4 linked regions of the Canis lupus familiaris genome follow. The protein of the gene in region 1 interacts with the protein of each later gene in a pairwise test. Links are inferred from orthologs where the notes say so. Each region holds a gene or a part of one and is shown on either strand. Other genes may lie near its edges.

Evidence for each region.
Region 2: the proteins of PAK5 (region 1) and UXT interact in binary tests that used the Homo sapiens proteins (3 or more experiments, as listed by UniProt). The two-hybrid records come from large-scale screens. The link is inferred for Canis lupus familiaris from reciprocal best matches to the Homo sapiens genes PAK5 and UXT.
Region 3: the proteins of PAK5 (region 1) and CCNG1 interact in binary tests that used the Homo sapiens proteins (3 or more experiments, as listed by UniProt). The two-hybrid records come from large-scale screens. The link is inferred for Canis lupus familiaris from reciprocal best matches to the Homo sapiens genes PAK5 and CCNG1.
Region 4: the proteins of PAK5 (region 1) and PSMF1 interact in binary tests that used the Homo sapiens proteins (3 or more experiments, as listed by UniProt). The two-hybrid records come from large-scale screens. The link is inferred for Canis lupus familiaris from reciprocal best matches to the Homo sapiens genes PAK5 and PSMF1.

The regions. Positions count from the first base shown.
Region 1 is NC_049245.1:12,850,501-12,858,453, reverse strand, and holds the start of PAK5 (serine/threonine-protein kinase PAK 5), read right to left. Parts: upstream 4,751-7,953; 5' UTR 4,525-4,750; intron 1-4,524.
Region 2 is NC_049260.1:41,472,093-41,479,092, forward strand, and holds the end of UXT (protein UXT), read right to left. Parts: intron 2,515-7,000; coding exon 2,451-2,514; intron 2,245-2,450; coding exon 2,191-2,244; 3' UTR 2,146-2,190; downstream 1-2,145. UniProt on the Homo sapiens protein: Involved in gene transcription regulation. Acts in concert with the corepressor URI1 to regulate androgen receptor AR-mediated transcription. Together with URI1, associates with chromatin to the NKX3-1 promoter region.
Region 3 is NC_049225.1:48,695,273-48,703,492, reverse strand, and holds the start of CCNG1 (cyclin-G1), read left to right. Parts: upstream 1-2,962; 5' UTR 2,963-3,189; intron 3,190-3,760; 5' UTR 3,761-3,889; intron 3,890-4,303; coding exon 4,304-4,567; intron 4,568-6,409; coding exon 6,410-6,663; intron 6,664-7,257; coding exon 7,258-7,336; intron 7,337-7,414; coding exon 7,415-7,513; intron 7,514-8,220. UniProt on the Homo sapiens protein: May play a role in growth regulation. Is associated with G2/M phase arrest in response to DNA damage. May be an intermediate by which p53 mediates its role as an inhibitor of cellular proliferation.
Region 4 is NC_049245.1:20,352,930-20,360,411, forward strand, and holds part of PSMF1 (proteasome inhibitor PI31 subunit), read right to left. Parts: exon of another isoform or gene 6,768-7,482; intron 6,045-6,767; exon of another isoform or gene 5,949-6,044; intron 3,953-5,948; exon of another isoform or gene 3,927-3,952; coding exon 3,774-3,926; exon of another isoform or gene 3,746-3,773; intron 2,132-3,745; coding exon 2,049-2,131; intron 1-2,048. UniProt on the Homo sapiens protein: Plays an important role in control of proteasome function. Inhibits the hydrolysis of protein and peptide substrates by the 20S proteasome. Also inhibits the activation of the proteasome by the proteasome regulatory proteins PA700 and PA28.

The sequences.
Region 1 (7,953 bases):
TCATTAAATGTTGTTATTTACTTTAAAAAAGCACTTTTCATGAAATAAAATTACATGAAATTGAGGCCATCCCAGAAATTCAAAATGTAACCCTGCATTCCTGCGCTGAGCCACATTCTTTTCTCCAGAGTACTCAGTCTTGTTTTCAAAACTACCCAAAAATGCTCTGAAAGAGACATTCAGTCACTTCTCACTTGGATTAAACAGGTCAAAAACAATTCAGCTGCTGATTAGGAATTGTGACAACTATGGAAGACAAAGAAACACACCAGGAACTTGCTCTTGTGTAAAGAGCAATTTGTCTCTTATTGTAACCCCAGAGACAATAGGCAGGATGATTTTAAAAGTAGAACAGAGCCCACCTGGATATATTAAAAAAAAAAAAAAAAAAAGCTGCATGCTCTTCTGTATATGAGCAGATTCCTTTCTTCCACAGATAAGCTTAAGTCTCCTATTTTAAAAGATCAGGATAATAGTATCTACTAATTATTAATTCATGAAATATTTATTGTGCATCTGATTTGGGTTCTGTGTTACTGGGAGAGATTGGAGGACTATCTAGTAATGAATGAGTAGGGATAGGTAGGGACTGAGGAGAAGCTGGAATGTAACAACAGCTCAATAAATAATGTTATTATTACACATTATTATTTATGATTAATCTCTGGAAGGCTAAAAGTCTAGCTCTCCATTGTCCCCCTAAGGCCTAGCATGCAAGTATAAAAGTCCAATATACATGTGTGAAATGTTTGTTGACTGACTGATGGGTTTTTACAAAAACCTCAGTTGCCAGAAAATATTTTGACTCAATTCTTAACTGCTTGCTTAAAACCAATTCTTAGAAGATGCATTTGTTAAAGCCAAGAATACTCCTTTTTTGAAGTCAGAATGAGTTGCTCTTTTTATACTAGTAAAAAAAAAAAAAAAAAAAAAAAGTTTCTAAAAAATCAGATCTTTAAAAGTTGGCACAGAAAAATGCTGTAAGAGTATTCATTCCTTCACTCATTTGCCATTATTGAGCATCTTCTACATGCAAGACACAAAAAAAATGGCCATCAGTTTACAGACATTTAACAAACAGCCAAACAAATAAATAGGAAATTGCAAATTAAGGTGAGTGCTATAGAAGCAAATTAGAAAGGCGGTAAGGAGAATGGGGCTGCTGGGAAAAGGAGAGCAAGGGTGCCCAGAGGATGAGTATAGTTTGTACTGAAAAAGTATAAGGGAAGTGCTTGTGATACTCAACAGACAGGAGACCATGTTAACAGCAGCAAGAGGGTGTGACCAACATAAGTCTGGCCAAATACCCAAGGCTCAGTCTCTGGAACCTATCCCAGGTATGTGAATGTATTTTATGCAAGGAATTGACATGATCCTATCTGCTCTAGAAGAATGATTGGAGGTGCCAAGCAAGGAGCTCCGGATCTTGCTGGAAAGTTACACTAGTGATCCAGGAGAGATGACGACCTGAGGTTTGATCGTGTGGTGGTAGGGATGGAAAGAAGAATCTATCAAGATATATACATGTAGAAGACAAAGTTTATGTAACTTTGTGATGATTTGGGATATAGAGGGCACAGGAAATGAAGGTGTCAAAGACGATTCTCGAGTCTCTGGTAAAAGCAATTCCATGTACAGTGGTGCCATTTACCAAGATTAGAAAGATCAGAAAGGTGTTCAGATTGGGATGTTCTTGTTTCTCCTGTCATTTTTCTTGTTCAATTCGATCTTCTGTTATTTGTTTGCATTGTGTTGGTGGCGTAGCAAAAAGGGAGGAGGCAACATTAATGAACACATTTGGGACAGGGTGTGTCAGGTTAGGTAGCCTATAGGAGACTGAGATCCTGGGTCATCTGGGGGTGTCCACATAAGTGACATTTGTCTGGTACCTTCGAATGCTGCTCTTCCCTACCAGGTTGGGAAACCTCATACATGTTAGCTGGATTCAATAACCTTTAAAGTCTTTCCACAACCCGTAATACTCCATCTTGACCTTCTATTCATATGCTGAAATAATCATGTCATGAAATACAGATCACAGAGATGTTGATGCGCTGGACTAAATAGTGTCCTCCAAAAATTCATGCCTAACCAGAACCTATAAATGTGACCTTATTTGGAAATAGGATTTTTGCAGATATAATCAAGTTGAGGTCATACTAGATTACAATGCACCCTAAATTCATAGGAATGGGGTCCTTTTAAGAAGGGAACTTTGCCATGTGAAGATGGAGGCAGAAACTGGAGAGAAGTTATCACAAACCAAGGAACACCTGGGGCCACCACAGGCTGAAAATGGCAAAAAAGGATCCTCCCCTAGAGGCCTCAGGGGGAGCACAGCCTTGTCTACACCTTGATAAAGGAGTTCAAGCCTCCAGAACCGGGAGAGAACAAATTTTGTTTTTAGCCACCTGGTTTTTGGCAATTTCTTACAGCAGCCCTAGGAAACTAATTGGGCTTAGAGAGTTAGATTACTTGTTTGGGCGTAACTAACAGAACACAGGGCACACAGTATAGGTTCAATAAATATCCATTTCCCTTCCTCTTCTAACGGCCACCACCATTTTCCTGGTGGTTTCTATTACAAATAATCCACACACCAAGCCATTTAGGTAAGTCTCTCTATTCCCGGGGTTGTTTTACATGGGAGAAACGGAGGCTCTATAGAGTTAAATAGCTTGCCCAAGAACACAAAGCTAGGAACGGAGGAGTCAGAGCCCAAACTCAGCTGTCTCATCACCAAGAGGATACCACGTCCCAGAACACCTGCCTCTTACACCTGCAGCATTGAAGCAAACTGACAGAGGAGCTGCCAAACTCTTTTCAATGCCTGCAATTAAAATTCACATTTATTAACAAAATACCAAGTTGCAGGCACCTAGTATAATCGATCTTTACCCATTCCCAGAGGAACACAAAAATCTTATTCTAAGATCAATGCTATCAATAAACTTGCCATCAACTCTATTGCTTCCATTAGCAGTGCTTCTGCTTTGCACATATGCATTCCAAGTCAAGGTATTACCATCAGATTAGACATTTATGGCTTTCATTTACTAAAATTCATTTTCCTCAAGCACTCCCCATTTCATTTTGATGATACTGACTCCTTCTTGCCACCTTAGGAGGCCATATGAATAAATACTCTAAGTATGGAGGAAAGTGTCTCAAACCTTTCCATCCTTTAAATTGATGTCCATCCTTTAAATTATGAAGTAAAAAATAAAAGCATATTCTAAATTTACCTTCCCTCCCTAACTCAGTGAGTTGTGCTGCTGAATATAACAGATATAGAAATATAAGGTGGCAGAGTTGTTATTCTGGGGTGTCAAGTTTCATAAAATTCTAGTGTAGGAGGGGCTTTTCAAGACTATCTTGTCCATCTGGACTCAGGTGAGATAGACTGTGTGTACATACCGTCAAACCCCAGAAGAAAAATGGGATGTGCTGGGGTATTTTGAGTTACCTCTGAGCCAATGGCTATTTCTCGGTCGAACCTTGTGCAATGCCAGGTTTCTCAATTTCCCCAAAAGTGTATTTAGCCTTCCAACCTGTCACCAGCTATTAAGGATGGCACTTTCCTCTGGCTTACTGCCAACTTCTCTATTTATTAATTTGACCCAAAAACAAACAACAACGACAACAACCCACCACAGACAGCCCCAATGCTTCAAATTCCCTTAACCGACATCTAATGTTGAATTAACTCGCGTCCCATGGTTCAAGCTCCAGCTACACACACATGGGTTCCGGGAGGGCAAACACGCTTCTCCTCCAAACGGGGCACAGAGGATTTCTGGACTTTTCAAGTTTACCCTCCGGGAGGCCAACATCACACGCGATTTTGACAAGAGTTTGGAACCAAGATCCTCTTCCACGCTCTGCCCACCCCCGTGCCCAGGAGCCGAAGTTCCCTCTCCATCACAACCCTCCACGCGCGCACACACACGCGCACACACACACATACGTATACACACGCACCGAGGCAAGTAACAAAGGAAAACACAGCCCCATAAAGGCTCCGCTAGCACATCTTCCCGTCCACACCTGCCAAGAGACAAACAGCATACGGAAACCCTGCCCTGGCAATATGTGCCACAGTCGTGGGGCGAAGCAGGCACCCTGGCACCCCCGGGCGTGCGCGGCTGTACACACAAAGAACCGGCGCCGCGCTCGCTAGCGGTCCAGGGGACCAGACACTCCCGGAGCTGGCAGCCAGGGGTGCCCCCCACGCCCTCTCCCCCCGGATAAAGGAACTATCCTTTATGCGACCCGCGGAGGGCCCCGGCTGGAGAGCAGCGGGCGGGGGCGGGGGCGGGGGCGGTCCCCGGATCCCCGCCCTGCAGCCGGCCGGTCCCCAGCCTCCGGCATCTCCAGGCGATGCACACCCCGCGCTGTCAGACGCCCGCCTCGCATCCTCGGCGGGGGAAGCCGGACGCCGGGTCCCGGCCGCGCGCATCCCCGCCAGCGCCCCTCCCCGCGCCGCGTCCCACCCGAGCCGCGCAGCCGGGCGCGCCTGCCTACCTGGCGGCTGGCTGGCGGCGCCTTCTCCGCTCCCGCCGCCGCCGCTACATCGCCCGGAGCGCCACGTTCCGGGTCTCCGCGGGCGCACGCCGGCAACTACTACGGGCTGGGTAGGGGCGAGGAGGCGCGGGCCGGAGGGAGGCGGGAGAGGCAGAGCCGCGGCTCCCTACTCCCCACCCAAGCCTCGCCGGCTACTGAGCATGCCCAGCTGCCCGGCTTCGCCCCTAGGAGGACTTTCCACGAGCGCACGCAGCTGCTCCGGGTTTTCGCGGCAGCCGGCGGGAGGCAGGCAGCAGCAGCTGCGGGGGGCTGGGGGAGGGGAGGCGGGGAGGGTCGGGGAGGGTCTCCACGCTGCGGAGCCCCGAGCCGAGCCGGAGAACGCAGCCGCTTGCCGCTGCCCGCGCCAGCGCAGCCCCTGCACGCCCCCCTCCACGCGCGCTCCGGCTTCGCAGGAATCCTGTGCAGGACCAATGCGGGGCTGGGCTTTGCCCGGGAGGAGAGCCGAGGGGGAGGAGGCGGGGCCGAGAGGCAGATCCTTCCGCTAAGCGCCTCGCTACCACCTGGACCTGGGCTTCCCAAACTTCAACGTGCCGTAGCATTAAAAGGCGTATTCATAGTCACTGGGTCTGTCCAGGTGCCTCAGATTCTGCAAGCTAAATAAGCCTCCAGGTGATGTTGTTGCCACTGGTCCCCTGTGCGGGCTAAGTAACAAGATCTAGAGAACACCCCCCTATGACCTCTGTGTGGCCATCCTTCAATAAGCCAGCCCAGAAATGGTCTGTGGCATCCACAGAGGCCCCTCCTGCCTACAGATGGTGTGGTGGCTAGTGAGGGAAGGTTCCTACTCTACACACACATACACACACGTACACACACACAACTGGGTTGCTGTGCCGCCCTGGAAGAAATCACACTAGGGCTAGGCTCTGAGCATCCAGCACAAACTGGCTACTTTCTGACTTAGAATTTGACAGGGGAATACGAGTTCCTGGACCGCTCCATGCTCATTTTGCTGGTTGGCTAGCAAACTAGCTGCTACATGAGCTGCTCTGCTCAAGTCCAAACCAGCCTCCCTTGGCTGTCCCCTGCCTTTCCTGACCTGGGACAGAAAGTCAGACTGGGCATCCAAGTGATGAATTTATGACACGTGCCATGGTAAGGTTGGGCTAGCCCAGTTAAGAAGACTGGCAGATTGTGACAAGACGAGGACGTTTGTATACTGAGAGATGACAAGGCTTTCTGATGAATGAGTAATGTTTGGGCTGAAGCTTGCAATGATACCTTGTGGTTTATATTAAATCCTCTAGTTGTCCACTCTCTTCCCAGCCTCTGAAGGCTCCAGGCATTGTCAAGAATATTCACTGTCCATGCCATAGTGAGAAAGACGTTCACAAAATCAGTCATGAGTTTCCAACCTTGGAAATGAAGTTCTACCCTTGTCTGTCCTTAGCTAACCCAACAATATTTTCGTGAGCTAATGATATGGTATCTGATTCCATAACTGCATAGCAGATTAAAAAGAAGGGTTTGTATCCATCAATACCCTATTATACTCAATAACTCTAAACAGTTTTAGAGTTAATGGTATAATATTTATCATTTCTCTCTTGCTTGTTTTCCATTCATTCAGGACCTTCCATGTAGTAGCTGTGGTATCAAAACAGAAGCCATAGGATAAATGGATAATTACTTTTCTCCCTCAATACTCCTGTGTATAAAAGTAAAATATGTCCTGGTAAATCATGCCTTGTTTTTCTGTTTAAAGGAATATAGGAGTCTCTAAGTCTACCTCTTTATTCTCTAAGCCACACACATAGCCCTAACTCTACCCCCACCACCACCACCCCCTCTCCCATCATTATTTGCATAAATATTTTCTATTTTTTGTGACCTTCTTGTATGTGTGCTTGCACAGATGCAAGAGCTAGAAAATATCTTTATAGAGGTTTGTTCATTTGTGATTGGTATTCAATTAGAATTTTGCTTTGAAATACTGAACTTTAATCACAGGGAAGAAGCCTTACTTGTTAAACATAAAGTTTGCATTTGTGTGGCTGTTTCAACCAGTTTAATACTATGATTATTGTTATTTGCCTCAAATTCATTTAGGAGTTAGGCAAGATAAACTTTATAAATGAATAATAATGCTATTTCTGCACACACTGCATTGCATTAAGTCCTAGGAGGGTTCTTTTCATATAATATCATGTCTTAAGAGTTTAGCAGGCAGGGTGTTGATTAAGAACTAACATGTGTGGGCCAATGGCAGTCTTGGCCAGCCCTCCAGGGAGCTCTGGAGCAAGGATCATCCTTTAGTTGTCTCGAGTTGATTCGAGTTGTCTAGTCCTTTATACACTAACATTAATCATTTGGCTGTATTGGAATAGGCATGAACTTGAAATGAGGCAGCTCTCTTAAGCTAAGGCAGTCCCTGAAGAAAAGAACATCTGAAAGCCATCTGCCAGCAGTTGTCCCTGCAGCTAGAGTAACAGGTCCTTCACTTAAGGGAGATCTGGGTAGAACGTCACTTTGTCCACCACACTAATGTATTCATCAAATATGGCACTTTTGAATACACAAAGTAGAACTGCACCAATTTGTCAGAGGGATTAAAAAACTTTACTCAGAGATTTAAAATTTGGAAAATAACCTATGATCAGCAATTGTGAGTTGTTGGAGTTGGTCATTGAGAGGATGTAACTTTTGGTTGACCCATAATCTGGACCTGGGCAATCAGGTCTCACCTCTCCTCACAATCTCCCCTGTCCTGGCAATGTACATTTGGCCCACCATTCCCACCGTAGGAGCCAGTTTCAAGGACACAACCTTAGAGGGTAATGTATTCTCAGGTCCACCTGCTGAATATGTGACTTAACCCAGTTAAGGCCTCTGTAAACTTCTAAGATTCTGTTGAGTAGGTGTGAAGAGCCGCTCATGTTGCACCACCTAAGACAAACCTCACATATAGATTCCCTTGATTATTAAAATCGTCACCTACTAATCTGGAGTGGCCTGTTTCTTCATTCTCCCCTTGCCCTCTGTGCCTGGGGACCAGTTTCAGATTTCACTCAGGAAGCTCCAACAAGAGTACATTTTCTTTCTTTCTCTCTCTTTTTTAAGATGTATTTATTTGAGAGAGACAGAGAGAGAGAAAGTGTGATTGCCAGCAGGAGAAGCAGAGGGAGAGAGAATATCAAGCAGACTCCACACTGAACACAGATCCAGATTCTGAGCTCAGTCCTTTGACTCGTGAGATCATTACATGAGCCAAAATCAAGAATCAGACACTTAACTGACTGAGCCACCCAGGCACCCCAGGAGTACATTTTTCTATTTAGTTATCTGGCTCCATATATTTTTTTGTATGTGAAATGATTAATTATGATCTCTTAAGCTAACATTTAAGACATGATTTTATCCACTGCCAAA
Region 2 (7,000 bases), on another chromosome or scaffold:
GGGCAAGGGGAGCAGAAAGGCATCTACTCTGCACAAGAGTAGATGGGGTGAAATGCCATCACACGGACTCATTAAAAGGAGAAGGGAACAAGGCCATGGAATGAGCTACTGAAAATGGGGAGTTCAAAAACACGAAACTGACCCACTATTAAAAGGAAGAGAGAAGCCCAAGGGCTGGAGAAACAGTCTGAAAAAAAAAAAAAAAAAAGAGGCTAGGGCAATGGGCTGATAACGACAAGGGATGTGGATACTAGCATTCAGACCGATACACTGTAAAAGATAAAACCATGGGACTGATGCACTGGGGGACTGGAGGAGGCAGGAATACAACTTCACAGATTAACTCACTGTTAAAGGGGGTGCGGGGGGGGTGCAACACGCCATGGACTGATTCACTACAAGGAACAGAACTACAAGGCCACAGACGGGGCCCTTGAAAGTTGAGGACAGGAGAAAATAAACAGTCAGATGCACCTTCTGTCAAGGAGGGACAATGCCCGAGGCTGCTCCCCTCTAAGTGGGGGTGGGGGCGGGGCAGGACCACGGACGAGTCCACTGTAAGGTGGGGTGGGGAGAACTATAAGCACGCAGACCGATCCATTATAAAACAGGAAGGGGGGTCAGGCCACGGTCAGATCGACTACAAGGGGCGAAGGGAGGGGACAATACCACAGGCAGGTCCACCAGCCGTGGCGGTGGCGGTGGGCAGTTGAACACCAGCAGGCCATGGGCCAAGCCACATCCCTCGCGCGGGGGCGGGAAGGATACGTGGGGTCACGGACGGGCCCTCCACCCTCCAGGCCCCGGGCTCACCTGTGTGTAGCGCAGTGGCAGTATTGGCAGCTCCGGGGGGCGGGGGCTCCATGCGCAGCCCCACCGCCCCCCAGGCCCGGGCTCCGAGGTGGCGGTGGCGGCGGTGGCGGCGGTGGCGGCGGCGGCGGCGGCGGCACCTAGAAGCCGCCCCTGCGTTTCCTCACGGCTCACGTGGGCCCCTGGAGGAGGAGCCGAGCATTCCGCGGCTGGTTGATTGGACACAGCGCCTTGGCTCGACCGCGCGGCTTCCAGGGTTGGGGAGGCGGGCCCTGCCCCGCAGAGCTAGGCCATGATTGGCCCGAGGAGAACTGATGGAACGCAGATAGCCGCCTGGGTTCCGAGGGGGCGTGCTGGGCCCCGCTGGCGCTTCACGCTGATTGGCCCAAGGCTGACAGCCTGTGGGCGATTGACAAGATTCTGGGGGCGCCTGCCTGATAATAATTGGCCTGCATGGAAGACGGCCTCCGAGGATAGGGGCGGATGGACTCTGCTTTCTACTGATTGGCGGACTAGGGACTCCAGACAGCTGCCAAAACACCAACTGGGCGGTGCTGCACTCCACGCTGCTCAGCGGAAGCGGGACTTATATGGAAGTGGGCGTAGCGGCAGGCTGGGAGGGGGTCGGGCCAGGACTGTGCGTAGGTGGGAGGATAACTCTATCGTGATTGGGTAGAAAAGACGAGTTTAGGACAGAGCAGAGATAGGGTTGGACAGCGGCCAGGCACGCAAAGGAGCGTTGAGTGGCGGAAACTAAAGCCTACGAGGAGGTCAGCGTTGAGCCTCAGCCAGTTATAAGGGGGCGGAACCTGGCTCTGCAATGATTGGCGGAAGCTAGACTCAACCTAAAATAGGGGCCGGCCGGGGTAGGGCGGGATCAGGCTCTGCGCCCATTGGTGGAAGCTGAAATTAGTTAGAAGCCGGGTGAGGCCAAGGTTGGAATGAGACGGGCGTGGGTGTAATCTAAGGTACCCCAGTAATGATTAGGGTGGGGGAGAGGGGCAAACTTTAGGGCCAGGAATGAAAGGCTGATTGTCTTGGGAACAAACCTCCACCCTGAATCAGCCCATTCTCTATGATTAAGACAGTTACGTCCAGGAAGATAAAAGGGTCAGGTGGGAGGCCCAGGTTTCCAAGGCGACAGAAAAGAGGGCAGTGCAGAAAGTCAAGTGGCAAATGCTGCCAGGCAACAGGCTGGAGGCGGGACTTCAGGGGTGCTTTAAAGGTTCCACATAGAGACTGGCTCTCTGGGGTTCCTGGTAACTTTGTGCTTTAGAAACAGGGCACCTTAGCAAACAGCAAAGGGTTGAGGTGGGGAAAGAAGGGCCATGTGACTCAAAGGCATTCAGGCTCTTTAATGTCTACGGAGGCGGGAAGAAGTCAATAGTGAGGTGTCTCCGGGAAATTCTGCAGGCCTTGTAGTTCTCTAAGCCCCTGAAAAAAAGGATAGAAGAGATTGAACAGAGATTGTCTAGGCCTCAGCCCAGGCTTGCTCTGACCTCCCCTCCCTCAGAGCCAGCCTGGTTCCTGCTTAGAGAGGAAAATGGTCCTTCCCATCCCTGGCTCTCTCCCTTCGTCGGGTCACACCACCCTGAATACATTTGGAGACAGAGTCTGGGAATGGGGTGAGGTACTCTCACCTCTAGCAACATGTGGATATGGGCCTTGATATTCATGGAGTCCTTGGTGAGGCTGTCGCTGAGCCTGGAGAAAAGAAACAAGAAAGGGCCGAGTGGGCCACACTTAGGCTCATGAAGATGATTTTTCCTCATCACTTCAAGAACTGCCTATGTCCTGGATGATTTCCACATGGCAGGTGGTAGGACATGTTACTACTTGACCTGCTCCTATGCAGAGATGCCTGGCCACCATCTGGGCTGCACTGATTCAAAGAAATTGATTGAATCCCTACTCTATGCCAGGCAATTTTAGGTACTGGGAGATAACAGCAAACACAACAGACAAAAATCTCAGCCTTATGGAGCTCAAGTTCTCGTTAAGAGGGACAAATTATGGAATAATATATAGAGTATTTCAGAGGGTTATAAGTAAAATGAAAAAGTTAAATGATAAGAGAGGATGAGTGCAGGAGTGGGGGGCTGCAATTCTAATGAGAGCACTTACAAATGGCTGTGCGAGAAGCATTTGCATAAAGAGTTAAAGAAGATGATCATGAGGATAGATGGAAGATGAATGTTCCAGACACAAGGCCCAACACATGGAAAAATGATGAGGTAGGAGTGTACCTGGCATGTTTGAAGCACAGCAAAGTGGCTGGCATGGCTGAAGAATAAGGGAAGGGGAAACTGTAGGAGGTGAGGTCAGAGAGATAAGGTGGGGAGGCAGATCATGTAAAACTCACAAGGCCATGGTGAGGACTCTTGACATTTACTCTACGTGAGATTGGAGCCAAGGGAGGCTTGTGATCAGAAAAGGAATGTGAAATGACAAGGGTTCTTTAAAAAATATTTTGAGAGAGAGAGAGAGAGCACATGTGTGTGCATGAGGAGAGGGAGGGCTCCTGTCCGGCTACAGGGAGAGGGAGAAGCAGACTCCCTACTAAGGGTATAACCCCTGATGTGGGGCTCAATCCCAGGTTGCTGAGATCATGACTTGAGCTGAAATCGGACGCTTAACCGCTTAACTGACCGAGCCACCTAGGTGCCCCACTGACCAGGGTTTAAGAGGATTCATCTGGCTGCTGTGTGGAGGACTGAGGATAAGGAGAGCTAGTGTGGAAGCAGGAAGTCCAGTGGGAAGGCTACTGTAATAGCCCAGGTGAGAGATGGAGACTTAGACTGCAGTGTCAGCAGCTGAGGTGATGATTAGTGACTGCATTTGTAATATATTTTGAAGGTAGAGTCAACAGGATTTACCAAATGGTTGAATGTCAGGTGTGAGAGAGAGGACTTAAGGAAGATGCCAAGGCCTAAGCAACTGGAAAGCTGGAGTTGCCTCAAACCACTCTGGCCCTTGACTGCTGAGTTACATATACTGGTCAATTCCTTATATCTTCTTTTTTTTTTTAAAGATTTTATTTATTTATTTGACAGAAAGAGAGAGAGAGAACACAAGCAGGGGGAGCAGCAAGGAGAGGGAGAAGCAGGCTCCCAGTTGAGCAGAGCCCTTGGAATTGCGGGGCTCAATTCCAGGAACCTGGGATCATGACCTGAGCTGAAGGCAGTCGCTGAACTGAGCCACCCAGGCACCCCAATTCCTTCTATCTTCTAAGCTGATTGGGATCAGACTCAGCCAACAGAATCCTAATTGATACAAAGGGCTAAGGAAGGCCCTTCTGAGGAATGAGAATGAGTAAGAGTTAAACAGTAGGAGGGTCTTTTCCCCAAAAAGGCCACAAGGCAGGAAGGAGCTTTTGGAGGACCAGTCAGGAAGTCAGGGTGTTAGGAATTAAGTGACTGGTGGAAGGAAAGTGGTCCAAGAAAAGGTCCCAGAGGTAGGAAGGGGCTAGTTTACACAGGGTCTTGATACTGTCCTAAGGGAGGCAGACATTGTTGTGCTCAGCTATCTGTTCAAGCAGAAATCAATTTAAGGCAAATTAGATATGGTAAGGAGAGTAGAAGGTAACAACATAGAATGTTAAAATGGAAAAAAATACAGCACTATGAACCCATATCTTGAATACCAAGATATTGGTATCTTCCAGATTTATATTTTCAGTTCAGACCCTTCTCCAGCCTTGGGAGTTTTAACTCCTTCTTCAAAAACTCCACTTCACTGTTTAATAAGCACCTCATACTTAACTGGTCCTAGGTTGAACTCCTGATCCTCCTCTGCAAATCTGCTCCTCCTCTATCTTCTCCCTCTCAGATAATGGCAACTCCATCCTTCCAGTTGTTCAGCCCAAAACTTTCACACCTTACAGCCAATCAAGCATTCTGTTTAAAATTGCAACTGCTCCATCCTAGGCAATGTTTCTTTTCCTATTTAAAAATTTTTTTAAAAGATTTATTTATTTGAGAGAGAGAGGGAGGGCAGTGACAGAAAGGGACAGAGAAACCTCAAGCAGACTCCCCGCTGAGCACAGACCCCCCCCCCCAGCCCAACATGGGGCTTGATCCCAGGACCCTGAGCCTAGATCAAGAGCTGAGCAGAAGAGTTGGCGGCTTGACCAACTGAGCCATCCAGGCACTCCTCCTTTTTTTAATTACTAAAGTATAATTGACATGTAACCTTAGTTTCAGGGGTATAATATAATGATCAGATATTTGGATACACTGTCAAACGATCACCACAGTAAAACTAATTACCATTTGTCATCATACAAAGTCATAAAAAATTTTTTCTGGGGAATGTTTCTCCTCTCCATTCCGGGCTGTTCTCTGTAGCACTGCCAACCTGTGACCTACTACATCGTTTACTTCTTTTTTTATTGTCTGACTCCCCTGACTAGAATGTAAGCTATGTAAGGGCAGAGAACACAGACTGATCTGCTTTGTTCCCTGCTGTATCCCCAGGAACCAAACAGTATGCAGCACATAGTAGGCACCAACATATGCTGAATAAATAACTGAATAGACTACTCCATTCAAAGGAACCTGAAGTCCTCAGGAGATGGTTTGAGTCTATGTTTAAAGACAAGAAATCAATGAAGCATGGCACTGTTGCCCGAGAACAGGAATGCTTTCAAGAATATCTGGGGTAGTAATTCAAAGAACAGAGTAATGAACCTGATTGGCTTCTAAGGACAATCTGAACATCAATAAAGAGAACAAAATTAGTTAATGGTACAAGCTTAGTTTAGGAAAGGCTATGAGTTGCAACACTTTTAAAAAAGGAGAAAAATACAAAGCCCACCAAATGCTAGTTGTAACACACAGGAGATGCTTCATTTTTTGCTACTGATTTAATAGGTAAAGCAGTATAAATACTCAAATGGTTACTGTCTGTTCTCTCTCCTTTTTAAAAAAGATTTTATTTTTAAGCAATCTTTACACCAAATGTAGGGCTTGAACCCACAACCCTAAGATAAAGAGTCACACACTCCAGCTACTGAGCCAGACAGGTGCCCCTATTCTGTCTCTTCTAGAGTTACATGTCTGTGGATGTGTTCTCCTTTCTATATAATCAGGAAAGAATATACACACAGATCTGATCCTCCCACTCCCCCAAAGAAATGTGCTAAAAGAAAGACTGGCTGACAGTCATAAAATAACCCGAAAGAAAGTTAGTTCAAGGTGTGTCCCAAATAACAAAATATTTTAAAAAGGAGAGTGAGCTACTCAGACTCAAATCTTCATCTCCTAGGAAGATTAAATTTCTAGGAAGCCCTCCTAATGATAATAAAGTAATAAGAGATCCAATCACATTTCTCATTCCAATAAACCAAGTCAATATATCAAAAAGACCAGACAAGTGGGAAGGCACTGACAATTTAAATACATTTTGGGGGAGAGATATCAAGTCTCAAAAAATGAAAATCTCTATCTGAAAGGCTCAGGAATTCCGTGACATAACAAGGAAAGCTCTGTTATAAAAAAAAATGGATGTGGTCTGAATGACCACTAGTTCAGAACTGTGTTGGCCCATGAAAGCAGGCCCCTTGACCCCTTCACTAATTGGTCTGATCACCAAGATTTAGAAATCTCAGCAGAGGGCACCTGGGTGGCTCAGTCACTTGAGTGTCTGCCTTCAGCTCAGGTCATGATCCTGGAGTTCCAGGATCCAGTCCCGCATCAGGCTCCCCGCTCAGTGGAGTCTGCTTCTCCTTCTGCCCCTCACCCCGCTCATTCTCTCTCTCACTCTGTGTCTCTCAAATAAATAAATAAATCTTAAAAAAGAAATTTCGGCAGATCTGAGGCTCTTTTGGGTCTACTAACACTTGGAAACCTTGGAATGGTTTGAAAAGAGAAGAATTACTAAAACCAGAAGAGAAGCAACTCTGGAATAAATGAATGTAGGCATAAACAGACCTAGAAGGCATTTTAGATAAGTGGTATTCACTCTTGTAAGATGGTATTAATCTAAGTGTTTTGCTTGGTATCCCCTCTTGTGGCATGTTTGCCAATCTTGGCAATTCTGCTAACACGGCACTCACACTGGTCCCCTTGCCTGTAATGCTCTCCCCACAAAGCCCCAATGGCTTGTTCACTCGACCAAGAGACTCAATTGTCACTTCCCCGGAAGGCCTTTCCTGGCTACATTTCAAACCTCTCATCCACACTTCCAATTT
Region 3 (8,220 bases), on another chromosome or scaffold:
GTTACCTTATCTAAGGTAGTTAGAATCACTGAATGGCAAGATAGACATGACATCACTAAACTATTTTCTATGTATCCTTCTCCCTGCCCGCCCCCCCCACCACCACCCCAACCACCCAGACTATACACAATTTCTCTGGTACACCAAGGGCTAATAAAGACTCAAAAAGGCCACTGCCAAACAAGCTCTCTTTAAATGAATAATACTGAGCAGGTGTTCTAGCAAACAGTTGGAGAGGTGGTAGGGATTGTAATAACTAGTGCCAGAAAGGATCAGAAAGCAGAGGGGAAAGTACCCAGGGATCCTCACTTCTTGATCCCTCACCACAATTGGAAAAATCAACATACAAAAGTTCCAGACATTTGTCAAGAAGCCTAAAGAGATGGTGAGGTGCAGAACCTCCTCCAACCTCTAGGTTGGAGACAGAACCAATTAGGAACTTCCCTGTGAGTCTGGGCAGCATTTGACACAGGACCACTGTTATACCTACTTGTTATAACTTTTGTTGCTCAAAGGCACTTCTGCAGTCTACAATGTAGAGAATATGATTAAATCTTCCTGTGACTGCCTGGGATTCTTGCCCAACCTCAAGGCCATTATTCTGAGCTTTGGTTCTTGCTGCACTTAACTGATGACAGAGAAGAAAGTATAAAGATGGCAGCTGCATATATCTTCAAGCCTCGAAAATACCTGAGAAGCCAGTCATTTGAAACATTCCTGAAACTCATTACTAAATCTACACATCTTTATAAATAATTTCATAGCGAATAAGTGGCTCATTTTCTTTCTTTTACAAGAGTACATAATTGAGTCTTACATTTGCTTATTTTTCTAATTTCTAATTTGCTCATTTTTCTAATTTTTCTATAAAAAATAATCTCTTTTCAATTATTTAAGTGATAGACTAACATTCTAATATCATCAAATATAAATGACAGTGGGAGTAAAGGGAAGGAGAAAAGGTAAGGAATGTCCATTTGACTTGCTTTATATTTAATCAAGTTTTCTTCAGAGCAGTCAAAACAATTACTTTCAGATAGGGAATTTCAGATCTCAAAAAATAAGATCCTGATGTGAAACAGTTTTATTACATAAACACTGATATATTACCTAAAGCCTCACATGAAAATTTCAAGTATAAAAGATTTAGAAATTAATGCAATTTAGATACTTTTATTCGTTTTAAGTAAACAGTTCTTAAACTCTGATTCTAGGCTGAGAAGATTAAATCTGACAATAGAAAAAGCCCAATCAAATGTATGTTTGAGCAAGACATTTTCAAAAGAAATGTTAATAATTTAATAATAAAGGCTACCATTTAGCAAGTATTTACTGTGTTCTGGGCAGAGTGCCTACCTTTTTATGTACTTTGCTTTATTTAATCCTCTCAATAACCCTATGAATAAGGTACTTTTACTTGCCAGAAAAGAATGGAAACTAATGTGATTTAATAACTTAAGAGTCACATAGCTAGTTAGTAACCTACGATTTGAAAATAAGTTTTATTCCAAAGTCCATGTGTTTATAGTGTCCACAAGACTACATATTCCACAAGGACAGGTACCAATATATTTTGTTCTCCACTGGCACATGTTTCAATAGATATTAGTAAGTGAGTATATATACACATATTCCTAATTCTGTAACTAAAAGCCAAAAGAGAAACATGTACATTTGTAAACTCACACATTACTGTAGTGAATACTTTTTAAATGTTTTAAATTGTCCGTTTATACTCATTATGTAAGTTTGTTTTCAAGAAGGATGGAGGCCTCTTCCCCATTTGAAAAGCTGCATTTTGTCAACCAACCTATTGTTGTGGCTGGGGTGTTATTTTGAGGTATTACGTTTCCTCCCTGGTTTTCCCTCTCTTTTCCTCTGCACAACTCTGCCCCCGTTTTGAGGCTTGGTTCTGTGACATTGCCTCAAGAAAAGACACCTCAGGGAAAAGAGAAGGGATACCAGTAAATCTTTCAGATTTTCACTTTTTATAGCTCAGAATGCCACTAACCAGAAAGAGTTCATGATAGCAGAGACATCCAAGTACAGCTCTGAGAACTGATTAACTCTTTCCTCATCAGTCCTCAGACCCTTCTAATGTAGACCCTTCTCATTTGTAAGGGATCGAAAGAGGAGGGGGGTCCAGGAAGGCTTCAGGCTAATTATTTTCCCACCTACCTGGCATGGGCCCCCTTCACACCTGGGTCTGTGGACTTAGATTCATAGTCACTACAAATATTTTCCCATGTACTCTCCTCCTTCCATTTTAAGCCATTTAAAAAAAAACAAACAACAACAACAACAACAACAACAAAACCTACCAACTTTTAATTAGCTCAAAAATAAAATTCAGGAAACTGGTGAAGACCAAGAATTCACCTGCCCCAGCTCCATTCTTTGATAAATCGTACAAAAAGCAAAATAAGGCAAGAATTCATGGATTTTCCAAAGCCCACAAGGAGAAACCTATAGAATACACCACCGCATAGAAAATTCACCACCTCTCCAACCTGTGACGAAAAATCAAGGGTTTACTTTGTGTTTTGTAATTAGTCGCTGTATTTTTACAAAGACGACGCCGAACAACTCTACTGAGCCGCAGGGAACAGACACTCTCAGTACATTCTGGAATGATGTTCTGGCCAATCCGGCTGGCAGCAGAGACCTTACCCGGGACAGAGCGCGTACACCACTTAGTTGGACCACCTCTTGGTTGAAAACACTTTAGGAAACTCTCCACGGAGAGAAGCTGAGAGGCAAGGGGCGTGGCCTCAGGGGGCGGAGAATTTGGCTCCGGGATAATGGGAAGTGTGTGCCGATTGGCTGGACTTCTTCCCTCCCAGGCCAGCCCTCTTTGGACGGCTGGGGCCATCCATCAAAGGAAGTGCACCAATCAGAAGCTAAGCCGCCCCTCTCTCCCGCCCACCAGGGGCAAGCCCCGCCCTCCAATATATTACTCAAGCGGTCAGGCGCTGCCCCTTCGGCTCCGAGCTGACCCTGTGGTGGGCAGTGTCGTCCGGGCGGCGCTGCGGAGACCTCCGCCCAGGACGGCTCCCCCTCCCCGGGCCTCTCCCCTCTTACCCGCGAGTCCCCTCGCCTCGTGGGCCTATCGGATCTGTTATCGCGGGGTGAGGTGAGAGCAGGCCCGGGGAGGGTAGTCACGGCTGAGGAGCCGCAGTCGCGGTCAAGGTGAGCGGGGCCTCGGGGGTTGGCTTCGCGGTGCGGCTGAGGAGCCGGGTTGGGGGTGAGGGGTGAGGGGTGAGGGGTGAGGGGTGAGGGGTGGGGGGTGAAGGATGCGGGGCGAGGGGCGGGTCCAGCCCGCGCTCTTTCCCTCGCTTCACTCTCCGGTTGCAACAAGTCCAGGCTAGTCGGAGCTTGGAGGGGCGGGGCCAGTCTTACTGTCCGGTCGGCGGGGTCCCGGGGACCAGCCCACGGCGGAAAAGCGTCGGGCCTGTAAAGTTAGTGCTTCCTCGTCGGCGCTTCCCTTCAGTCGCGCAACTTGAAAGATCCCCTGCCGCCCGGTCTTCCCCGTGGTGTGGGAGGTACGCTCGTGCCGGGCTTCCCTTGTGGCCGGGACGTACTAGCTGTGGAATAACCGACTCTGAGATTAATGAAACTCCCAGGTGCATGCTGCAGCCTACGGTACCTCACGCCCTCGCGACGTGTTAAGCTTCACCAATAAAAGTTAACGATGATGGAGCGCGGTGTGTCAGGCACTGTGCAAAACTCTACATGAATCATCTTGTTTGAATTTTAACAGCCACTCGGAGAGACAAATGTTGTTACCTCATTTTACAACGAAGTAAATACTATTGTCCAGTGTTTATTAGGTGCCTTTGTGCTAAGCCCTATACCTAGGTGATCTCGTTTTTCCACACAAGCCTGTGAGGTAGGTAAGAACCTCATACCCACTTTACAGATGAGGAAATAGGGATTAAGTAAAATTAACCAACGTTAACAGTTCACAGCATGGCAGTTCAATATAGGGCGATTACATACGACCGTCCAATCTCAGAGTATCAATACTCAGTTATCTCTTGGCAGTGAATGACTTGAACAAGTATTTCTTGAAGATTTTTAATGTGTTTGAGGCATGGCTCCTGTCCTCTAGGAAGTCACAATCTAGGATGTGACCAACTGGTCGGGTGGGGGTGAGGGGTGGCTGTAACAGACGGCACTTTGCAAGGACTTAGATTCACTGGCAGCATTGGGGGAGGGGAAACTTGTGTATAAAGCACTTGGCATGCTACAAGGCAGGAAGGGCTTTTCTTACACTCCTTTCTGGGCCTTGTGCTATATATAGATGATAGAAGTACTGACAACAACTGAATCTCAGAAACTGCTACACCAGCTGAATGCCCTATTGGAACAGGAGTCCAGATGTCAGCCAAAGGTCTGCGGCTTGAGACTAATTGAATCTGCACACGATAATGGCCTCAGAATGACTGCAAGACTAAGGGACTTTGAAGTAAAAGATCTTCTTAGTCTAACTCAGTTCTTTGGCTTTGACACGGAGACATTTTCTCTAGCTGTGAATTTACTGGACAGATTCCTGTCCAAAATGAAGGTATGTTTAAAGCTACATTACACTAAGTATTTCTTGGTTTTAGTCATTTCGTTTTGGAGGTGAATTTCTCTAGCTTTGGGCTGGTATTCAAAAACTTGACCTTTTTAATTTTCAGCAAGTAGCCAAAACATTTCGATGATTCTGTGTACTCTAGCATTAGTGAATACTCTTCCTTCATAATCAAGAATAATGTATAATTAGAATCAACTTGACATTGAAAAAATAGTCTATTAGCAAAAAAGAAAAGAAAAAGAAAAGTGTTAGCAAATAATTGCAGACTCCCAGTATGAGAGTTGGCTGTTGTTTTTTAAAATCTTTCTTGATAGGTTGGGTATTTTCATTTATCTACTGTTGTTTTTAAATTTAAAGAAATGTGTTATAGGCAGAGTGCTAGATTGTGGTTAAGAATTACAGGTTTGTTCTGTTTTGTTTTATATTGTGAACCACTTGGTCAATAGAGTATACTTCTTAATTTCTAGTCATATATAAAGTTTTAATTGTTTTAGCCCTAGTCCTATTCATATATTGTTTAGCTTGCTATTTTCAACATCAGTTGGCATACGGTAGAGAAAAGAGTATCTTCTGAAGGAAGAGCATTTATGTAATTATTTCCCTGTACTGGATAAGCAGGACATCTGTGTAGATTTCAGAACTTGCTTACTGTTAAAAATATATCTGCCTTTTGTGCCCATGGTCATGAGTGGATGAGATGATGTGACAAATGGAAAGAAACTCATCTTTTAGTCTTCAGTACCTGACACAACACCTCATACACAGAAGAAATTCCACATTTGTTGAATTGGATGGTTCAAGAAACTTGCTCAACAGACTAATTTTTTAACTATTGTTTAGACACCATGTGCCAGCACTACCTTTGAATCTACAAATGTTGCACAGATTAATAATAATACATCTGTCCCTTAAGTATATTACAATCTTATATGAAAATAATGTTTGTACCAATAACTATAAAACAATGCAAGGAATAAGAGAGATACTTAAACCCCCAAAGAGAAATAAATATGTTGCTGAAGAGATTCCAAGAAAAGGAGGACACACACACTGTAAAAACTTCTTAAAGTTTCATTTAACGTGTAACTTCAAGTGGATAGAAATTTGATTCTGTCACATTGTAGACATTCAGGAAATGATAACTATAAAAGATTGGCAGTGGATAGAGCTTTACAGGCAGAGTAAATAGTGTGTGCTAAACCATTTAAAAGCCATTTTACATGTGTTATTGAAAAGAGCCTAGAAAAACACGACATCTTAGAAAGATATTTTGTGCATAAGCCATAAGGAGCTTTGATCCTCCTATAAGCCTTTGATCAGTTAATTTATTTGGTCCAACTAGAACATAATGCTTACAGTTCTACAATGATTTAGGAAGGAAAAGAAAAAAAGAATTTCTTATGGGCTGAAGTTAAATATTATCCTGACAGTCCAGTTTCTCCAAAATTGATTCCAAGTGGATACATAGTGTTGACAGGCTAGAGTTGAGGAATGATTGGATCTCTATTAAGTCCTTCACAGTTGAGAAATAGATCTCAAAGATACATTTTAATAATAATGTATCTGAGTTCTAGATTATTTTATTTGTTTATTTTTTAATTAAAATAAGCTAAAGAGGGATACCTGTGTGGCTCAGTGGTTGAGCATCTGCCTTTGGCTTGGGTCATGATCCCAGAATCCTGGAATCGAATCTGGCATTGGGCTCCCTACAGGTAGCCTGCTTCTCCCTCTGCCTCTCTCTCGCTGTGTCTCTCATGAAATAAATGAAATCTTTTAATCTTTTAAAAATAAATAAAATAAGCTAAAGGCATAGTCTCATTGTCATTTTAGGTACAGCCCAAGCACCTTGGCTGTGTTGGGCTGAGCTGCTTCTATTTGGCTGTTAAATCAATAGAAGAGGAAAGGAATGTACCATTGGCAACTGACTTGATCCGAATAAGCCAGTATAGGTTCACGGTTTCAGACTTGATGAGAATGGAAAAGATTGTATTGGAGAAAGTGTGTTGGAAAGTCAAAGCTACTACTGCCTTTCAATTTCTGCAACTCTACTACTCACTTATTCAAGAGAACTTACCAATTGAAAGGTATGTAATCTTTGTTTTGACCAAAGGAGATTTGGAAATCAAAATGGTATTCTGGATATTGCATAATTCAGTATTTGAATTTGGTATAATTCCAATCAAAAGTAAAATGAAGGGGGTAAAAAAGTACAATGACAGCTGCAGCTCCTTGGATTTCATTTCACTGTCCAGCGAAAGTGAGACTTTCAGTTGTCAACAGCTTTTTCAAGTCTCTGAAGGCTAATTCTTGGGATTAAGGGACATTTCAACTTTTTTTTTTTATTACATTTTCCACTTATAGACTACTTAACTCCTAGAACCTAGTAAATATCTACCAGATTTATGGAAAAAGAACTCAGTAACTGCAGAAATAGATTAAAATGAAAACTTGATAGTTGTAACATGATACTTTTTTGGTGGGGGTAAAATTATTTTAAATTCATGTATGGTATCTTCAAGAAGTTAATGCTCCTGAAGGAAAGGGAATTCTTCAAATGATTTATTTTCTGTGATGTGTACGTAAATTTCATTTTAAAATGACTTAGATGTTGTTCTAAACATCCTTCGTTGACTACATTCTACATAAAATTAATCTAATTTTCATTTTCTTTTTAAAAGGAAGAATAGCCTTAATTTTGAAAGACTAGAAGCTCAACTTAAGGCATGCCACTGCAGGATCATATTTTCTAAAGCAAAGGTAAATATTTTATAAAGATTAAACTGATTTATATACCTATTTTCAACTCAATACTTACTTAAAATTTATCTCTTTTAGCCTTCTGTGTTGGCATTGTCTATCATTGCACTGGAGATCCAAGCACAGAAGTTTGTAGAGTTAACTGAAGGAATAGAATGTCTTCAGACACATTCCAAGGTATGTCAAGGTCATAGCCTAAATGGTGTTAACAGCTATAAAAGAAACTAAACCACTTGTGTACTAGCTCCTCCAGTAAAATGAGATGTGTCTGTTTGAAACTTGAGTAGCTTATCCTCAGATTTATTTAACAAGGAAAGACACATTAGTAAGATCACAATTATTGCTGTAGTTATATACTGTAGGACCATTTTTTTAATTTTAGAGTACAGTGGGGGAGGAGAGAGAGAATCTCAAGCAGACTCCCTGCTGAGCACCAAGCCCATGGGCTCAATTCCATGACCATGAGATCATGTGTGACCTGAGCTGAAATCAAGAGTCAGATCTTGGGCAGCCCGGGTGGCTCAGCATTTTAGTGCCGCCTTCAGCCCAGGGTGTAATCTTGGAGACCCAGGATCGAGTCCCATGTCAGGCTCCCTGCATAGAGCCATGTCTCCCTTGGCCTGTGTCTCTGCCTCTCTCTCTCTCTCTCTCTGTCTCTCATGAATGAATAAATAAAATCTTTAAAAAGAAAGAAAGAGAGAGATCTTTAACCACCTGAGCCATGCAGGCACCCCATGTAGGATTTTCTTTTTTTTTTTAAAGATTTTATTTGTTTATTTGAGATATAGAGAGTATATGTGAGAGAGAAAGCCTGAGCAGAGGGGAGGGAAAAAGGGAGAGAGAGAAGCAAACTTCCCACTGAACAAGCAGCCTGATGAAGGGTT
Region 4 (7,482 bases), about 7.5 Mb from region 1:
ACCTTTACTAGAGAGGGAGCTGGGAGATACTGTCATAACCAAGTGATCAAACTGAACAGAGCCAACGAGACAGACGTCTGGGCTTGATGTGAGATGCTGAGGAGAACGCAGGAGTGCTCTTGTTGAAAATGTTCAGTCTGAATCAAAGATGACCAGATAACCTAATAAATCTGATCATGAGGAAACAATCTGAACATTCTACACAATAAATGACTTGGAGTCTTCAAAAATACCAAAGCCGTGGAAAACAAACATCTGGAAAACTGTTCAGGATGAAAGACAATTAAGGAGCCATGAAAATAAATGCAATATGGGATCTCTGGTTGGGTAAGAAAAAACCCTCAAACCAAACACTCAAAAAACTAGCTAAAAAGGACACTGCATGACGGCTGCAGAAATATCAATGTAGATGGTGTATTAAGGGATACTCCCGTATCTGCGCTACATTTCCTGAGTGTGAGAGCTGTGTTAAGATTATAGAGAATACCCTTGTACGAACAAGGAGCTACTGCTGAAATATTTAGGGGTGAAGGTTAACAAAGCCTGGAGATAATTCTCAGGTGGTTTGGGGATCCCTGGATGTCTCAGCAGTTTAGCACTGCCTTCGGCCCAGGGCATGATCTTGGAGACCTGGGAACGAGTCCCGCATCAGGCTCCCTGCATGGAGCCTGCTTCTCCCTCTGCCTATGTCTCTGCCTCTGTGTGTGTGTGTGTGTGTCTCATGAATAAATAAATAAAATCTAAAAAAAAAAAATTCTCAGGTGGTTTAAGAACAGAATGGCGCACAGAAAAAATAAGCAGATGTGGCAAAATGTTAAGAACTGGTAAACTTCGGTGATAGGTATATGGGTGTTCACTGCAATATTTCTGTAAACCATCTTTTCTGTAAGGTAGCAAATTTCAAAATAAAAAGTCAGGAGAATGAGAAAATGAGCCAGACTGGGAGAAAATATTTGCAAAACACATATATGATAAAAGATGGTTAGCTAAAGTATACAAAGAACTCTTAAAACTCAACAGTAAGAGAACAAACCAATCAAAAAATGCCAGAGATCTGAACAAACGCCTCACCAAATAAGCATATGAAAAGATGCTCCAGGTCATCATAGGTCACTTGGTAACTGTAAATTAAAAGATACTACTACACGCTAATTAGAACGGTCAAATCTGAAAAACTAATACCACCAAATGCTGACAAGGATGTGGAGCAACAGGAACTCTCATACACTGCTGGTGGGAATGTGAAATGGTACTGCCACTATGGAAGCCACTACAGCAGTTTCGTACAAAAATAAACATACTTGGGGCTCCTGGGTGGCTCAGTTGGTTAACTGTCTGCTTTTGGTTCAGGTCATGATCCTGGGGTCCTGGGATAGAGCCCCTGCTGAGCAGGGAGCCTGCTTCTCCCTCTCCCTCTGCCCCCGGCTCATGTTCTCTGGCTTACTCTATCTCAAATAAATAAAATCTTAAAAAAAAAAAAAAAAAAAAAAAGGTAAAGGTTAAACATACTCCTACACTGCCAATAGTGAAGTGAATGTAAAATATGGAATCTGAGTGAGAATGTATATTGATGCAGGTTCTTCCATTATAACAAATATACAGTAAGCTGATAGTGGAGGCTGTGTCGAGGTGGCTGGAGGCAGACCTATTCATGTAAATTCTCTGCGCTTGTTGTTCAGTTTTGCTGTTAACCTGAAACTGCTCGAAAAAATTAAGTCCATTTAAAAGAAAAAGCTGGAGGTGGAGACCAGATTAGGCACACCTTTTCTCCAGGAGCCTATTCTTACTGACTCCATTGGCCTGATTCCACCTCTCCCCTGTAGCCACCGAAACACTTGCGGACTCAGGCTTACATCATTTTACTTCACGCGGCATTTCCCATGTGAATCTTCTCTTAAAATAAATTGAAAAACAAAAAAGAGAATTGAGAAATGGCTATGCCCAAGAGACAAAGACCATTCTATTAATTTTTCTTGGCTCTCTGAACTTCTCCACCCCGTTCCATTGTTTCTTCTTTTTCCCAGGGAAAAGCCATCCCTTAGAAGTACCTGTGGAAGTCACCCAGGTGTTCTGAATCGATATAATCATCCAAGTTCAGGGTCAAATCTGATACCTGCTGTGACCCAAATTCCTAGAAAAATGAAAACAGAAAACGAGAGACGGGATATTTCTGGGCTAAGGGGAGAATAACAATTAAATATTCAATTTAAAGAAATACAGATGCACAAAGAAATATACCAGGAACATCTGTGATATGTGAAACACCCTTCTGATGCTTATTTAGAAATACTGCCTTTCTGAGGCAGAGCCCAGTAAACCTATTTCCTGGGCACAGGCATATAACTGAGGTGTCAAATGGATGCACGTCTTTGGCTTAGAGGTGGGCAACATGGAAAAGCAGGCCCAGCAAGGGGCAGACATCTCCCTAATGAGGGGGCAGCAGATGCATCAGTGGTTCATTAGAAGGGGCTCTAGGGCCTGGAGCATAAGTCAGCACCTCATGCAGCAGCAGCTCATGTCTGGGGTGGTGGCAGCAGGACTAGTTTCCATGGGGTGGTTTGAGGCACTGTCTTGAAAGCCCAGACTTGAACCTGTTTTAGAGAAACAATTCCTCCTAACAATTCAATAAGCTATCCCAGTTCTATTAATAAACCTAGTCTAACTAACTTGAGGGGATTTCTATAACTAAGAACCCTGTCTGATACAAGATCTAAATGTTCATCAAAACAGAAAAGGATAAGGTGAACATAAGAGAAGGGATGGAAAAATGAAATAAGATAAAAACACAGCAGGAGGCAAACCATAAAAAACTCTTAACTCTAGGAAACAAACCGAGCGCTGCTGGAGGGGAGGGGAGTGGGGGTATGGTAGGTAACTAGGTGATGGGCATTAAGGAGGGCATGCGATGTAACTGGGTGTTGTGTGCAACTCATGATTCGTTAAATTCTACCCCTGAAACAAATAAATACACTCTATGTTAACTACATTGAATTTAAATAAAGGGAAAAAAAAACAGAAAGGGATAAATTATGGTATTACAGAAAACTACATAGTAGTTAAAATTAATAAGGTGTATCTCTATGCATTCCCACGTAAAGACCTCCAAAATATATTGAATGAAAAAAGCAAGGTACAATGCAATTTTATATGAGCACATGGAGATAACCAGGACAAACTTAAGAAGACAGTCACTGCCCTTGTGGTGCTTACAGGCCAGTGGCGGAACACAAATATCAAACCAAAGGATAACTACATGGTTACAAACTGTTGTAAGTACCAGCAAGGAAATAAAAGGATGAAGTAGAAAGGCATAATTTAGATTTTGCTGGCAGGTTAGAGTAGGTAGTTAGAAGGGAAGAGGGTGCATATGGGGTGGCTCATGGCGGCAGGGAAAAGTTTTCCATCCCTGAAAAGGAGAAATGTAAGGGCACCAGGATAGCAGAGAGCAGGCTTCTCTAAAGGACTAAAAGTAGCCCCTTGGGCCTACAGTATGCTTTTTTCATCCCTATTGTCACTGAAAGGATTTACCCTAATTTATGTAATCATTCCCCTGTGATGGAAAGTCCCTCCCTTGATAATACTAGAAGGTGAACCTCTTTGAGCACAAAGCTGTTCTATACTGAGGATTCCTGTCTTGGTTCCAAGAGTAAGGTCATTGGGTAAAGTCCTCACAAACATTTAAGGCTCTTGATCTGTACTGTTAAATGAGTGACACAAAAGTGATCCCAATGTCCTCTCCCACCAGCAGATGCCAACACATCCCTGAGACTCACCAGCACATTGATGATCATGCTGTTCTCTACAGTGACAGCCTTCACAAGGAGCTTTCTGGACCCATCCTTAGACTCATACCGGAGGACATACAGGTCTTTATTGCTGTTCCATTCAGCCGGCAGCAGTTCTGATTTCTTATCATTGGGACCTGGCTGAGAAGACACCAGGATTGAGAGAAGTAAGTTCACAACCTCAGAACACAGAGCTATGAAGGATTTTAGAGATAATCTAATCCCACTTCTTCATTTCACAGATGAGGATATGGAGGTCAAGAGAAATAAAATGTCCAAGTTAAGAGGTCTGGGACTTAGGTCTCTGGACTCCTGCTCCAGTACTCCTTCCCTTGTAGCTGACTGCCTTGATGACACAGTACTAGAACCTGTCCAGAATCTGTAGCCTTGTTTTAGTAAGAATCTCCTCTCCACCCCCCCGCCAAGAATAAGGCCAATTTCCTGAAGGGATAATGTGAAATTCTAAGACCATGTTTTTTCTAAGTTCAGAACTGGACCATCTGCAACAGGATCACCAAAGTGTTGACTAAAAATAAAGATTCTAGGGTAATCCCTTCCATACTGTAGTGGTTTCACAGAAATTATGAACAATTTTCATACACAAATAAAATATAGCATATGTATGAGATAAAACATTATCAAGTGGATACCTGTACATGTGCCACCTGCTTAAGAAATAGAACACCACCACCACCAAAGCCTCAAGTACAGTACTCCTAATGAATCTCTCTCCTTCCCCTCTTGGGTAATCGCTACTCTGCCTTTTTAAAAATTTCTTTACTTTTCCTTATAGCTGTGTTACTATACAAAAAAACCTAAAAATATACTGCTTCAAATGCTTTTGAATTTGTATCACCTTCATCACTTCCTTTTTCGTTCAATATTATGAGATTTCACTGTGTCAAAACATTTAACCATATATAGTCCACTATGCAGCACTCCATTGCAGTACAGTTCATGGCTGTATATAGTGTGGAGTTTATGAGCATGCTGCAAGGTACACAATCACTTACTGATAGATATGTGGACTGTGTACAGGTGAGCTGTTATAAATGATGCTGCTATGAACACTTGTGCATACATCTGCTGACAGGTGGATGAATTTCTATAGAGTATTTGTGGGAAAAGAACTTTTAATTTCTAAGGTAAAGTCAATGAGAGTTCTTGTAGTTCCATGTGGCCAGCAACATTGTCACTGTCCAATTTAAAAATTTTTGCCAACCTGGTGGGTGTAAAAATGCATCACTGTGTGTTGTGAGGTCTTCTTTTTCCTTTTAACTTATCCTAGGACTTTCCTTCTACACCCTGAAGTTTGAGAAATCGTTTTTGAACTATTTCTATAGGAAAAAGTAATATAGTGATTTCTAGGTGGGGAAAGAGTTCTTAAGATCTGCAAAAGAAAAAATGTACTATCTTTGAGACTATTCTAAGTTTAAAGCTTCTTTTCAACGACAGACACTGCAACAGTATCAGACAGCAACAGGCCAGGCGAGAGTGAGATATTTGCCATGGTTACAAATGAAAAAGAATTAATAACTAGCACATTAAGGGAATGCCTGGAAAATGAATGATGATAAAGACTGGAGGGATCCCTGGGTGGCGCAGCAGTTTGGCGCCTGCCTTTGGCCCAGGGCGCGATCCTGGAGACCCGGGATCGAATCCCACATCAGGCTCCCAGTGCATGGTGCCTGCTTCTCCCTCTGCCTGTGTCTCTGCCTCTCTCTCTCTCTATCATAAATAAATAAAAATTAAAAATATTTAAAAAAAAAAAAAAAAAGACTGGAAACCTGGGGATTCCTGGGTGGCTCAGCAGTTTAGCGCCTGCCTTCGGCCCAGGGTATGATCCTGGAGTCCCGGGATCAAGTTCCATATTGGGTTCCCTGCATGGAGCCTGCTTCTCCCTCTGCCTGTGTCTCTGCCTCTCTCTCTCTCTCTGGGTCTCTCATGAATAAATAAATAAAATCTTAAAAAAAACAACAACAACAACTGGAAACCCACTTGAAAATCTGGCAAAAGATATGAACGAGCAAAAGAGCAGACAACTGTATATAGAGGGCTATTCAACTTTATTGGCACTCAGAAAAATGTAGGTTGAAACAATGGGTGCCATGTCACGCCCATCACACTGGTATTACTCATTTCTTGATTTTTTTGTTCATATAGGTGTGAGGACAATGGGGACCCCCAGACACGGCAGGTGGCCACTGAAACTGCTGCAAATCCTCTGGAAAGCAGCCTAGCAGTATGTGGTACCCTCAGGTAAGCTGACACCTTTTGACCCCAAACCCCCATTCTTGGAGGAAACCTTGTGCACAAAGGCACAGGGGACATGACAAGGGATCTTTGTCATAACCTAGTCATGAACAACAAAGTGGAGGTGAAATAAAAAAAAATAAGCTCACAATGGAAGACTATATAGGAGCTAGAAGGAACAAAAAGATCAAATTGTAACACCACAGATAAAGGTAGAAAATAGAACTTAAAATATAACTTAAAAAATAGTGGTACTTGGGTGTCTCAGTGGTCAAGCATCTTGCCTTTGGCTCAGGGTGTGATCCCGGGGTCCTAGGATTGAGTCCCGTATCAGGCTCCCCACAGGGAGCCTGCTCCTCCCTGTGCCTATGTTTCTGCTTCTCTGTGTCTCTCATGAATAAAATTCTTGCATACACACACACACACACACTTAAGGGGTGCCTGGAAGGCTCAGTCTGTTGGGTGCCCGACTCCTGATTTCAGCTTAGGTCCTGATCTCAGAGTCATGAGTTCAAGCCCCGTGTTGGGCTCCACACTGGGCATGGAACCCACTTAAAAAAAAAAAAGTTTATATATATAAACACATAGAAAAACTTAAATTTTTCTTAGAAATTAAGAAAAAATGAGATTTATAGCCAGGTACCATCTATGTAAAAAAAAATTTTAAGACATACAAAAGTAACCTATATATATTTTTTTCAATACCTATTTACATGGCTAAACACAAAGCAAGTAGATTGGAAAGCTCTGGACTCAGGAAAATATGGTGGGAAAAGTTGGACCAAAGATGAAGAACAAGCGCAAGAGACAAAAGTTCGGCACCACAGTCCTTACACACACCAAGGACAACAAGAGGCCAAGAGCAAAAAATTGTGGGCCTCTCCTCTCTGATCACCCTTGGTACTCAGGAGTCCAATGGGAGAAGTGGTCCCAAATACAATTCAAGATGTTGCAACTGGTGTGGTTTCAAAGCTGGCTGGATAACAAGGAAACTGACAGCCTGAAGCAAAGAAATGAGACTGACAAAAAACGAAAGTGATACAAATCTGCCAAGTGAGAAAGAGAAACAACAATCCCTCACCTCCAGCTGGGTACATTTCCCCTAATAGGTTTAGTAGATTCAAGGTTTACTCTGGAAGCTAAGATTTTGATAACTGTGCCTTGTGTTTGTTCTGTCAGAGGTCTTTGAGTTTGTATGTATATCTTTCACATACAGCATATAACCCACCAGAAGTTTTCCTTGGAATATAGATAATCCTGCCTGCTCACTCTCCTACAGACTCTGGCTTGTGGGCAAGAGAGAACCCTGGGGTTAGATGAGGCTAATGCCTCTCACTGCAGGGGGACTGATGGTCCCAGCCCACGGGCCTGCTCTGATATAAGGCAGATGGAACCAACAGGGATCAGCCCTGGTGATATCAGGTCAAATAGGGCATTTCAACCG